Canis lupus familiaris: one gene and its partner. The protein of the gene in region 1 interacts with the protein of each later gene in a pairwise test. Links are inferred from orthologs where the notes say so. Each region holds a gene or a part of one and is shown on either strand. Other genes may lie near its edges.

Evidence for each region.
Region 2: the proteins of VPS52 (region 1) and NFKBIB interact in binary tests that used the Homo sapiens proteins (3 or more experiments, as listed by UniProt). The two-hybrid records come from large-scale screens. The link is inferred for Canis lupus familiaris from reciprocal best matches to the Homo sapiens genes VPS52 and NFKBIB.

Annotation. Positions count from the first base shown.
Region 1 is NC_049233.1:2,863,882-2,869,973, forward strand, and holds the start of VPS52 (vacuolar protein sorting-associated protein 52 homolog), read right to left. Parts: upstream 4,019-6,092; 5' UTR 3,747-4,018; coding exon 3,657-3,746; intron 2,822-3,656; coding exon 2,737-2,821; intron 2,603-2,736; coding exon 2,550-2,602; intron 2,367-2,549; coding exon 2,291-2,366; intron 2,101-2,290; coding exon 2,033-2,100; intron 1,734-2,032; coding exon 1,558-1,733; intron 1,165-1,557; coding exon 1,014-1,164; intron 717-1,013; coding exon 616-716; intron 504-615; coding exon 371-503; intron 233-370; coding exon 175-232; intron 1-174. Other genes in the region: RPS18 (40S ribosomal protein S18), read left to right, coding at 4,190-4,192, 4,633-4,731. UniProt on the Homo sapiens protein: Acts as a component of the GARP complex that is involved in retrograde transport from early and late endosomes to the trans-Golgi network (TGN).
Region 2 is NC_049222.1:115,000,012-115,006,184, forward strand, and holds the start of NFKBIB (NF-kappa-B inhibitor beta), read right to left. Parts: upstream 3,877-6,173; 5' UTR 3,792-3,876; coding exon 3,613-3,791; intron 1-3,612. Other genes in the region: SIRT2 (NAD-dependent protein deacetylase sirtuin-2), read left to right, coding at 4,131-4,256. UniProt on the Homo sapiens protein: Inhibits NF-kappa-B by complexing with and trapping it in the cytoplasm.

The DNA of each region.
Region 1 (6,092 bases):
TGTAGAACTATGTGTCAAAAGGATGCATGCCTTTTTCGGGCGGCAGGGGGGGAGGGGGATAGCCATTATCACATTCTCAAAGGTTTTGGTCCCAGAGAAAAAGACAAGAAGCAGTGCCTTTGAGGCACTGTCACTATCAAGGCCTACTACGTGGGTTCCTCAGTTCTAGGATATCTTTCTTTGCTGTGTCTTCCACACCCATTAGATCATCCTTCTCGGCAACTTCCTCATACTAAGAAAAAAAGAGAAAAGGGAACCAGTAAGCATCTCCTCCCCTGTTGTGATAAAACAATTTTTCCCCACTGTCCAGCCCTGCCTGGGGGTGGCCCCTCTTCCCCAATCCTAGCCATGCCTCCCTCCTTGGCCTCACCTGCACTTTCATGAGCCGCCCTAGGTAAGAGCGATAGTAAGACAGGTAGATCTTGCTCAGCGTTTCCACATACTCATCCCTGATTTCCTTTGCCGTTGCCCGTTCATTGCCCAGCAGAAACTGGTAGAAGAACCTGGAGAGGCCAGGGACAAGTCAGTCTCCCCACCTTCCCCAAGAAAGCAGACCCCTCACCAGGCTGACTGATGGCCCAGAGGCCATGCTGAGCCTTTCCTTTGGGCACTGACCTGTACTTGAGCAGGGCCGTCTGGGGGATCTGATAGTTGGTCATTGGTTTTCTGAAGGAATAAATCTTCTGAAGGATGAACTCTCGGATCTTCGTCACCGCCTGGACATGGGGGGAGGAAACAAACACAGGGCATGAAGCTGCAACCTTATGACTGTTATGGAAATGGTGGGGGGAGGGTCACATTTCAAATACAGGAGGATGGAGGTTGGAGAAGACCTCATCAGTATTTCTGAAAGTGTTCAGGGGAACCTAGAGATGTGAAGATGAGCTCTGCCAGTAAAGGCAGGGTGAAATTCTTGGGGATGGGCTACAGTGAGCGCTGCTGGGGAAACCCAGGTTGAAGGTGTCAGGGAGGCTGGTTCTAGTAATCTTGGGGGTATCATCCCCACCCCTCACCTTCACCCGTAGCCGGTCAAGTATGCCTCTGACATCAGCACAAGCCGCTGTGCCTCTAGCCTCCTGCTCTCGGACTGCAGCCGCCTTGGCATCCAGTTCCTGCAGCTGCTCCAGGAACCTAGGCTCTGTCACTGGTGCCTCCAGAATTGCCCTGGGTAGCAGGGACAGGTGGAAGGGGTTATAGGAGGGAGACCCAGACATCAGTAGGTCCCAAACTATATTCCTTACATCCAGCCTGTCACCTCTCCCTTCACACGCTAAGTCACATAGTCAGGATACGTGTACAAAGTCTCCTGTTCCTGGAACCTCCCCCAATCCCACGTCCATAAAGCCTTAAACCTCCCAACTAAACCTCCCAACTAAATGCCTGACTCTGGATATTCCTAATCTTTGATGCCTAAAGCATGCATCAAGGTTGAGTTGTCAACCACCCATCAGTTTCTGGAAGGTGCTTGAAGAGCTGAGGCCAGGAGACCCATGTGGTAGGTCATCCTAGACCATCTACCTGCTATAGACATTGTAACTCTTCAAAATGGCAACTTACATGATCAGAGCAGAGGGCACTATCAGACCATCGACAAGTTCCCCAAGTTTTCCCCGAACTGCCTGGCGGTTTCGAAGCCGAATATTCATGGCTCCTGACTGTTCCTGCAGTGTCCGGATCTCAGAGCTAATAGAGCTGAGGTCACTCTGAAAAGCTCCCAACATCTGCTCCATGCGCTGGGGGGAGGACAGAAGATGTTGTTGGAGCACCAAAGGGTTGGCAAGGGACAAATGGGCCACCTAAGTTTATTGGTAAAGTCTTCAGTATCAGTCCTCGAAGGTAGGTGATGAGGTAAGAAGTACCCAAAAGGTCACTGGCAAATAACATTAGTTATGGCAGTAGCAACAAAAAGGTCTGCTAAGGTCATCCTGAACGTGAATCTAACTATCCCCACCTGAGGATGATGACTTAAAGAACAACACCAGACCATGATCTGGTTCAGGGTTAAGAGGGATCACAGGTCATGGTTACTAACCTCAAGAACAGCATCGCAGGCTGTGATCTGGTTGTGGAGAGACGCTATGTTCTCACTCTCCTGGATATCTAATCCACAAAAAGTCAAGGGGCCTCACCATAAAGCTGGAGATTCTCAGACCTGTGGGACTATTCCCATTTTTCCCAGAGATGACAGAAACTGCCATGAGAAGATGTCAGCCCCTGCTGGGCTGCATGCACCATGCTCCGCAAAATCTCTATTTTAATAACATCACCCTTTTTCTCTACTGGAGGATACAATCTCGAATGGATTTCTGCTCAATCTGCTGTAGTTCCAGCTCAACCTGCTTTGAATAGTGACGGAGATCCACACCCTAGGGGAACATTAACACAACAGGTTAAGAGGAAGTGGCAGTGAAGAGACCCTAGAAAGAATCAATAAAGGACTAGAAGGTGAGACACCAGGGTGATGTTGTAAGAGTGAGAGACTGTCCTTTTTTTTCCTCTTTGAGGGGAGGGTAAGAGGAGGGATAAATCAGTACAGCAGAAAGCCTCACCGTTTTAAGAGCTTCCTTTACTAACTCATCCTCCAGATTTGCCTGAATGTGAACTGGAAATAGAAATTTATCATAAGGGTCCAGCTCCCGCAAACGAACATCTGTACACCATTCCCCACCTTATTACTTCCAGCACCATACCTCTTGGATCACAAGCAGTTTGCATCCACCTCATGCCATCACTTACCATCCACTTCATCCAGAATAAATTCATCAGAGGAGATGTCCAATTCTCCAAGTGGCAATGGCTCCTGAAGACCAGGGCCACCCCCCTGGAGAGGGACAAGTCAACAGGAAAGGGCACAGTAAGAGAGAGAGAGAGAACAAATATAACGGGATAATCCACAGACCTTCAAGGTTTGGGGAAGGTGGGGCTGGGCTGGGTTTTTATTGGGAAGCCATGGGCACTGGGTCAAAAAATTCCAAAAGTCTCACACTGTCCCCAATCTGCTATTTGGGGCTCCTAGGTAGGGAATATAACAAAAAGACTCAAAAGTCACCACAAGAGTAAAGGAGGAGTTGCAGAGGACAGGGCTAAACTTACAGCTGAGTGTAGGATCCCCAGACTCCTGCTATCTTAGGTGTTCTATCACAATCCCTGTGGGGATCACCTGCCCTTCTAGAAATGTCAGCTAACAGTGTTTACCTGCGGGCCAGGTGCCATTTTTCATACATTCATTCATCTAATCATAACCAACAATTTCTACGGTGAAGTCTTATCATTTCCTTCACCTTATACGTGGGGAAAGTATAACACAGAGAAACTGATTAACCCGCCCAACGACACACAGCGTGCAAGAGGCAAAGCTGGAATTAGAACCCAGGCGATCTGACCATAGTCACGTTCTTAACCTTTACACTATACTGCCGCTGTATTCTGCCCTCAGATCTGGAAGTTAACTGAAATTCTGCCACTGGCACCTGAGTCGGCCATTCTGACTCCAGGGCAGACTCAGACCCGACTCCAAGGACGGATACGGAAAAACACACAGGGAGCATCACCGTTAACAGCCGCTCGCCCACTCTTCTGCCTAAACCCAGCCCAGGCCCTTCTGACGCGAGGACCCCCGGACAAGACTCCGGAGAGAAAGAGCCCCACGTCCGCACCAGCGGGCCCTCCTCCTCCTCCATATCCGAGGTCCCGGCTCTCAGCAGCAGCTCTCGCGCAGCCGCCGCCATGGTCGCAGCAGCTGCCATTCTGCGTAGCCTCACTTCCGGCAGCTGTCCAGTCGCCGTAGGTCCGTCCCTGGGGTGGACCTACAAATCCTAGAGGGTCTTGCAGAGAGCGAAATCGTTCCCAGATATTTGAATTAAGTTGTTGGACTCCAGCCTTCCCCTTTCAGCCCTAACCACTTGACCCAACTGCAAATGGGAACTGGATATCTGAAGCACAATCGCACCCCGGAACCTTTGCTGCTCTCCCTCTTAAGGACTTTACGAACATGTAAAGAGAGGCCGCACCGGAAGTTCTGGTAAAGAAGAGAGATTCTCATAGTTGAATTAGTTCTGGCACCAGCGGCTTCCGGAAGCGCTCCTGCGTGATCGCTCCGCCTCTTCCGCTGATAGCTATATAAGCCTAGTATGTCACTTCCGTTCTCTCTTCCACGGGAGGCCCGCACGCCGCTGCAGAGGCTGCTGCCATGGTAAGAGTGGATTTCGTGCGGGGATCCGGCGACATCGGAACCGGGACACGGAAAGTCTGCTGTTAGGGATCAGAAAACGCCCTGTTTTAGGGGTTAGCAACTTTCTGTGTGAATCTTTGGAGCGCACCCCTGGGAAGGAATGACTGAGGACTTCCAGTTCTGTGGAGTAGGCCAGAGGAAGAGTCACTCGAAACCGGCGAAAAGGCTTGGGCGTGAATGGGGACCTGAGGTCTCCGCCTCTCAGTGTACTTTTGGGAACGGGCAGAAGACTTGCCCCCTCCCAGAGGTTGCGTTTTCCCGAGCTTGAACACTTAAGGTTTTGCGAGCGGGACTGAAGGGGGGAGGGTTGTTGCTCCCGGTGTGACAACCCGGACGTTCCTCTTGACGTTACTGTTTGATGGTGGTTGACGGTGTCCTGTTTCTCCCCCTGTCTCTGCCAGTCTCTAGTGATCCCTGAGAAGTTCCAGCACATTTTGCGAGTACTTAACACCAATATCGATGGGCGGCGGAAAATAGCCTTTGCCATCACAGCAATTAAGGTAAGGTAGGGTAAGGAACGGAGCCTGTAAATGAGACAGGATAGCTGTAAGTGAGGAAGGGTCCAGGAGACATGTCCCAACCAGATCACCTTAGCTGCTGGGTAAACTAAAGAACGGTTAAAAGAGTGACTAGTCCTCTGGTCTCTTACATCATTTCCACCAAAAGGTAAGTAATGAAAGCCAGAGAAGAGTCGCACATCAAGCCAAGATACTCTAGATGGGGAGTGGGTTCCCTCGGCTTCTAGAATTCACTAAAAGTTTGTTGGACCGTCACCTGTTGTCATCCTGTGAAGTTCGTTCTAGGTTTGGTTTCTGCTTCTGCTCCCCACTGCAGAGCATCGTGACAGCTACCCTTCCTGTGATCTACATGCCCTAGAAATTTTGTAATCATACATGGTGGGTAGTCGAAATGCCAACAGACTGCCAAGTGTGAAGAAACCTATAGTTAGGAAGTGGGAGGAGTATCATTACATCGTGAACAGTATTTATTCCAATGTCAGAGGTGAATACAATGCATTTCCCCTTTCTACCTCATAGGAACCATCGGTATTTGGCTCATATTATGCCTTAGGTCGGTGAGCATAAGTTTGGGTGTTTTCTTTCACTGACCTAATGAACTGGCCTTCCAGTTGGGGTCATTCCATCATTTTGTTTTGTTTTTGTTAGTATATGTAATTGTGGATATGGTTGAATGTGGTTTTGCCAGTGTGTGGACACCGTGGGAGCAGGGATAGACAGGGATAGAACTGAACAAAACGGGGTAGTCCTATTTTGTTCACAGTTCCCAGCTCCTGGTGCATAATAGGTGCTCATGAAATGTTAGAAATGGATCCAGGGATGCTGTAGCCTGGTTTCAAAGAATTTAAAGGAAACATAAGTATTAGGTAACTTGACCAATCAAAGCTATATGTTCTAGCTTTGGTTCATAAGATTGATTAGATTTCTTTGGTTCTTTTGTTTTATTGCAGGATGTACAATTTTCACTTGTTCTTAAATGGTAAATAAGAAGATTGCTTTTTTCTGTTTTTTTGAAACTAGTAAGGCAATATAAAATATACTAGTACTTTTAAAGATTGCTATGAGGCTTAAATGGGATAGTGAATAGACCTGCATATCACAGGTCTATATTGTAGGTTCAGTTCTAGGCAATAAAGTGGGTCAAATATTTTGGTTTCCCAGTGCATATGCAAGTTATATTTACTCTAATCAGTATTTCAGTATTGAATGTGTAGTAATGCATTATGTCTTTTAAAAGCACATGCTTTAATTTAAAAATACTTTATTGCTAAAAAATGCATATCATTGTGAGCTTTCGAGGAGCCATGATCACAAGTCACTATAACATAAAATAATTAAAAGGT
Region 2 (6,173 bases), on another chromosome or scaffold:
CCATTCATAGCTTACAGCCATACAAAAGCAGATGGCTGGCTAGATTTTTCCTGGAAGCCAGTTTGCCAACCACTTAATCAACAGAAGTGTTAAAGCTAACAAACCAGGGACTTTTGGCTGGCTCAGTCAGTAGAGCGTGCGACTCTTGATCTTGGGGTTATGAGTTCGAGCCCCATGTTAGGTGCAGAGATTACTTAAAAACACCTTAAGGGGCGCCTGGGTAGCTTAGTTAAGTGTCTGACTCTTGATTTTGGATCAGGTCATGATCTTTAGGGTTGTGAGATCACGCCCTGCATGGGATTCCATACTGGGAGTCGGCTTGAGATTCTCTCTCCCTTTCCCACTGACCCTCCCCCACAAAATAAATAAAATTTAAAAATAAAATCTTTAAATAAATACATAAAGCTAATGAACCAACAAAAGAATACAATGGGGGATCCCTGGGTGGTTCAGTGGTTTAGCGCCTGCCTTCAGCCCAGGGCGTGATCCTGGAGTCCCCGGATCGAGTCCCACATCGGGCTCCCTGCATGGAGCCTGCTTCTCCCTCTGCCTGTGTCTCTGCCTCTCTCTCTCTCTCTCTCTCTCTCTCTCTCTCTCTCTCTCTCTCTCCGTGTCTCTCATGAATAAATAAATAAAATCTTTAAAAAAAAAAAAAGAATAGGGATCCCTGGGTGGCGCAGCGGTTTGGCGCCTGCCTTTGGCCCAGGGCGCGATCCTGGAGACCCGGGATCGGATCCCACGTCGGGCTCCCGGTGCACGGAGCCTGCTTCTCCCTCTGCCTGTGTCTCTGAGCCTCTCTCTCTCTCTCTCTGTGACTATCATGAATAAATAAATAAAAATCTTTAAAAAAAAAAAAAAAAAAGAATACAACGGGACAAGGTTTACAGGTTCCAAAAGAAGGCAGAAAAAGAAGAAAAGGTAAACAAAGGAGATGTATTAAGTAGAAAATTAGCAAAAGGATGATAAACATAACTGTATCAATAACTAAATGTAAATGGTCTAAACATTCCAATTAAAAGGCAGAAATTGTCAGACTGAACAAAAAAGCAAAACCCAACTATATATGCTTCCTACAAGTAATACCCTTTAAATATAGGTATTAAAAGATAGGTTAAAATAAAAGGGTGGAAAAAGATATACTGTGCTAACACCAGTCAGTCAAAAGAAAGCAGGAGTGAGTTGTGTTTTTTTAAGATTTTATTTATTCATGACAGACTCACAGAGAGAGAGAGAGAGAGAGAGAGAGAGAGAGGCAGAGACACAGGCAGAGGGAGACGCAGGCTCCATGCAGGGAGCCTGATGTGGGACTCGATCCCGGATCTCCAGGATCATGCCCTGGCTGAAGGCGGCACTAAACTGCTGGGCCACCGGGGCTGCCCAGGAGTGAATATTTTAATATCATACTAGACTTTAGAGCAAGAAATATTACCAAGTATCGAGAAGGTTATTTTGTAATGATTAAGAGGTCAACTAAGCAAAAGAACATAATAATTCTACATATCCATGCCCTAATAACAGAGCATCAAATTACACAAAGCAAAACCTGACAGAACAAGAGACAAATCCATAATGACTGCTGGAGATTTCAATGCCCCCTCCTCAATAATTGATAGAACAAGGAGACAGAAACCATTAGTAAGGATATATAAAATGATAAACCAATAGGACCACTAATTGACTTTTAGAGAACCCTACACCCAACAACAGCAGAATATTCACTCTTTTCAAGTGCACGCATAATGTGTGGCACCATAAAACAATTCTCAATAAATTTACGAGGATCCAAGTCATACAAAGTATGTTCTCAGTCTACAAGGGAATTAAATTAAAAATCAATAAAAGAGAGACATTTGGAAAACTTTCCAAATATCTGGAAACTAAATAACATATTTATTTTTTTAAAAAGATTTATTTAGGGGCATCAGGGTGGCACAGTGGGTTGGATGACCAACTCTTGGCTTCAGCTCAGGCCCTGATCTCAGGGTCATGGGATCACGCCCTGCTCCCAACAGAGCCTGCTTGGGTTTCTCTCTCCCTCTCCCTCTGCCCCCTACCCCTTTTTAAAAGATTTATTTATTTATTTATTTTAGAGAGAGCATAAGCAGGAAGGGCAGAGGGAGAAAGAGAGAGAATTCCAAGCAGATGCCACACTTGAGCACAGAGCCCAATGGGAGGCTCATCCCAGGACCCTGAGATCACAACCTGAGCTCAACCAACTGAGCCACCCAGGCGCCCTAAATAACATATTTTTAAATAATCCACTGGCCAAAGAAGAAATCAAAAGAGAAATTACAAAGTATCTTGAATTAAATGAACATGAAAACACAACATATCAGAATTTGTGAGAGACTGCTAAAGTACTGCTGCTGGAAATTTATACCATGAAACACCAATGTTAGAGAAGAAAGGTCTCAAATGAATGATCTCAGCTGCCACCTTAAGAAACTTTAAAAAAAGAGAGAAAGAAAGAAAAAAAAAAATTAGACCCAAAGTAAGCCGAAGAGGGCAATAATGAAAATCAAAACAGAGATCAATGAAATAGAAAGCAAAAAACCAATAAAGAAAACTAATGAAACCTCAGCAGGGGTCTTTGGAAAGAACAATATTTCCTGCACGCCTCTTATGGGTCAAGCCCTGTTTAGTCACCATGACTGGATGAGTAGACACAAATACACAAAAAAACCCCAGGACAATCCCTCACCGCCCTTTACAATTCTGGTTCCTTCTGCCTGGAGAGTTCTCCCCCAGATACTCTACGGATCTCGTTTTCCTGCTTTATTTTTCCCCCAAAGAACTTATTACCTTCAGATACACTATTTTTCTGCCTTTCCTTTATACTGTTTTTCGTTTTTCTTTGTTTCTTCTTTTCCTTTCTCTTCTTTCTCACTTTGCGTCTGTGTCTTAGTTTCTTTTGTTCCTTCTCTCTCCTCTTTCCCTCCCTCCCTTCCTTCCTGTCTTTCTGTCAGCCTGTCTGTCCTTTTGTCTGTCTACATACGCACCTTAGAATGTAAACTCCACAAGAGCGGAAATTTTTGTCTGTTTTCCTCACTGCTTTATCGCAGCACCTAAACCAGTGCCTGGAACGTGGTGGTGTTCAGCAAATACTTAACAGGCATCAATCCCTGCTATCATGGAGCTTACGTTTTCCCTTTGGATGTAAGATCTGAAGATCGGTGCTCAGAAGGTAGAATGTTAAGAATCAAGGTCATGTATTAATTTTGGAAATCTAAGTTCAAGGCGCATCCATCAGGAGGCTAAGGATCAAGGATCCTATTTGGAGGTAGGAGGTGAGGAGGAGCCTGTCTGGACCACAACTCTAACAAAGGTCTCCGGACTTGGGTCGGGAAGATCAAAACCAGTTTGGGGATCAATGGATAGGGATGTGGAGCAATATGAAGCAGAGCTCAAGAAAGGAAAGTCGGAGAAATTAAGGAGTTAGGGTCAAAGTTGGCTAGGAAATTGGTTTTACTAAAGGTTAGGAGTTACAAATCAGAAAGTCGAGCATCAGAAGTTAGATTTAAGAGTGAAAGGTTAGGGAGCCGGGATAGGAGACTAATAGGGAATCAGAGGTGGGATCCTAGGGCCCCGTTAGGCAGCCTAAGGTTCACTCACGTGTCCCCATCCTCAGTGACGTAGCCAAAGACGAGGGGCGCCCACGACAACCCCGGGCCCAGCTCGGCGCCCAGCCCCGGTCCTCCGGGGGCTGCTGCGTCGGGACCCAGAGAGCCCAGGCCGCTGTCGCACCATTCGTCGGCCTCCGCAGCTTTCCCCAAGCACGCGACCCCGGCCATGGCCCCCGAAGCCTCAGGGGCCCCAGCGGCCGCCCGCCTGTAGCTGGCTTTGCCTGAAGCCCCGGCGCTTCCGCCCTGCGGGGAATTCCCCAACACTCCCCCTTGGCTCACCCAATCAGAATGACCTAAAGAGCACACGCCCCGCCCCCTTACCACACAGTGACCATTCAGAGTATTCAGACGGACTGCGGCTCTCTACCCATTCCCACAGTTTCCGGCCGCCCTTTACCAACATGGCTGCCTGCGCGGAGCCCTCTGGGACTCGTAGTCTCGCCGTCCGTGTCTTCCTAGCCCGAGAGCGGCAGGCGCCGCTGGACGAAAAGCCTGTATGCATCCTCGATGACTGCTGGGAGTCGTAGTTCTCTGCCCTGTCTCTGCCCCTCCTGTTTCCGGTGCCGTCACGGGACAGAGCAGTCGGTGACAGCCCCGAGGGCCCCCGCCCCGCGCCCATGGCCGAGCCGGACCGTGAGTCGGGGGCCCCGGTGGGAGGGTCGGGTCGCACCGGGGCCTGGCTGAGGGCTGCAGGCCCCGGGGCCCGAGGACCGGCGTGGTGGGGCTGGAGACGGGGGCTGCATGGCGGCCAGTGGGAATCGGGGCGGGGGTGGGGGGTCGTTGCTAAGTGATCCATCTTGCCAGGCTGGTGGGTTTCTGGGTCGCGAGATTGTAAGGGTCCTTTGCTACGTCCCCTAAGTTACTAATGACCGCGTGTTTCTCGCACCTCGGTTGCTGAGGACCCTCGTTGCTAAGGACTTAGATTGCCGCGGCCCCGGTTGCTAAGGGTACCTGGTTGTTAGGGGGAACTGTAGGATGCTCGGGGACCCCTGGCGCCCCCTCCTGTCTCGTCCCTCTAGTTCCTGTGCCCCTCCTAAACGTGCTGTCTCCACTGCACCTCCTTTCCTAAACCTGTCTCTGCTAAGCGTATTTTGTTTTCTCTCTTCCTTTTTTAAACTTCCCTCTGTTTGTAAACCCTAACCCTCCCTGCACACACACGTGCTCACACACACACTCACTACTGTTTGCTTCCTCACTTCTAAGTCTTCCTCCATGCCTGTATGCTTTACTTTCTCCTCCCTCTCCCAAACCTTCCTGCCCCAGCCTCTGTCTGTCACTAACCACTTCTCCAGACAGCACTGTCTATCCTAATAAGATCTGCTTTTCCCCATCCCCTCCCTCCCTCTGCTCAGCTTTTACCACCACCTCCCACCCCAGTATAATTAGGTTGGTGGGTCTTCTTGCCCCTTGCCCCTCTGCTTTGAAGCCCTTCATCCCCACTTAACTGTGCCCCGCACTGTAACCACGTCTGCTCCCCCTCCTCCCCCAGCCTCTGACCCTCTGGAGACCCAGGCAGGGAAGGTGCAGGAGGCTCAGGTGAGATTTGGGGAAGGGTGGAGGGAAGGAGAGAAATGGACGTGTTCCCACACCCCACACTCTGGGGGGGGTGGAGGTGGCAGAGGGGAGACAGTTACCCCAGGGCCCTCAGGGCATCACCCCAGCCCCTTGCCCCCACTCCTGGTTCGGCCCCCTGGGAATGGTGGATTCCGGGGACTGGCAGAAAAAGCTGTGCACCCTCAACTCCAGACCTGTCCTCCCTGACTTTTCTCTTTCCTTGCTCCCTACCCTTAACCTTTCTGAACCTCATTTATGCTGGGCATGGAAGAGACAGGCATCCAAGTTGGTCCTTGAACGCCCAGATCCCACAGACAAGTGACTAGAAATGACCCTCCAGAGTGATTATGAAAGTAGCTCAAGGCAGAGTAAACTTTGTGAGGGTCAACAGTTTCCAGCCGGTCCGTTCCCAGGGCAAATCCACAGGCCGGTCCAGGAGTCAGATTGAGGTACAGACACTTGACAGTAAGTGAAGAGTGACTTAGAATTTTCTTAGGCACAGTGAGAAATGGCGTTCCACGCAGAGTGTACAGCTTGTACCAGGACTGGGAGGGGGGCACGAAGGGTGTGATGTGGTCAATGGTCTGGTAGCTGTGGGTGGTTAGCTAATTATATTTGAGGTTAGCATTTATTGAGCCGGGTACTCCACCCAGTGCTCTGTGTACATCATAGCATTTCACCTTCCCAGAATCCCTGTGGTGGTGGTAGTTGGGGGGCAGTTCAAGGCCTACTGGGGCCATTTCACAGATGAGGAATCTGCAGCAGAGCTGTTCTGTAACTTGTCCTCTGGCCCCCCAGCTAGAAGAGCAGGGACTGCTTTGCAACCCACGGCACCCAGCACATTGCCTTCCAGACGCTTCAGGAAGAGGTAGCCAGGCCACCTCACGAAGACTTGAAGGCCCCAACCAGCACCTCCAGCTCCCCCTTAGGCCCAAGTCGCTCCCACATGCTGGGCAGGGCCCTCGAGTCCTTCCACAGAGGCTCACTGTCTGCAGC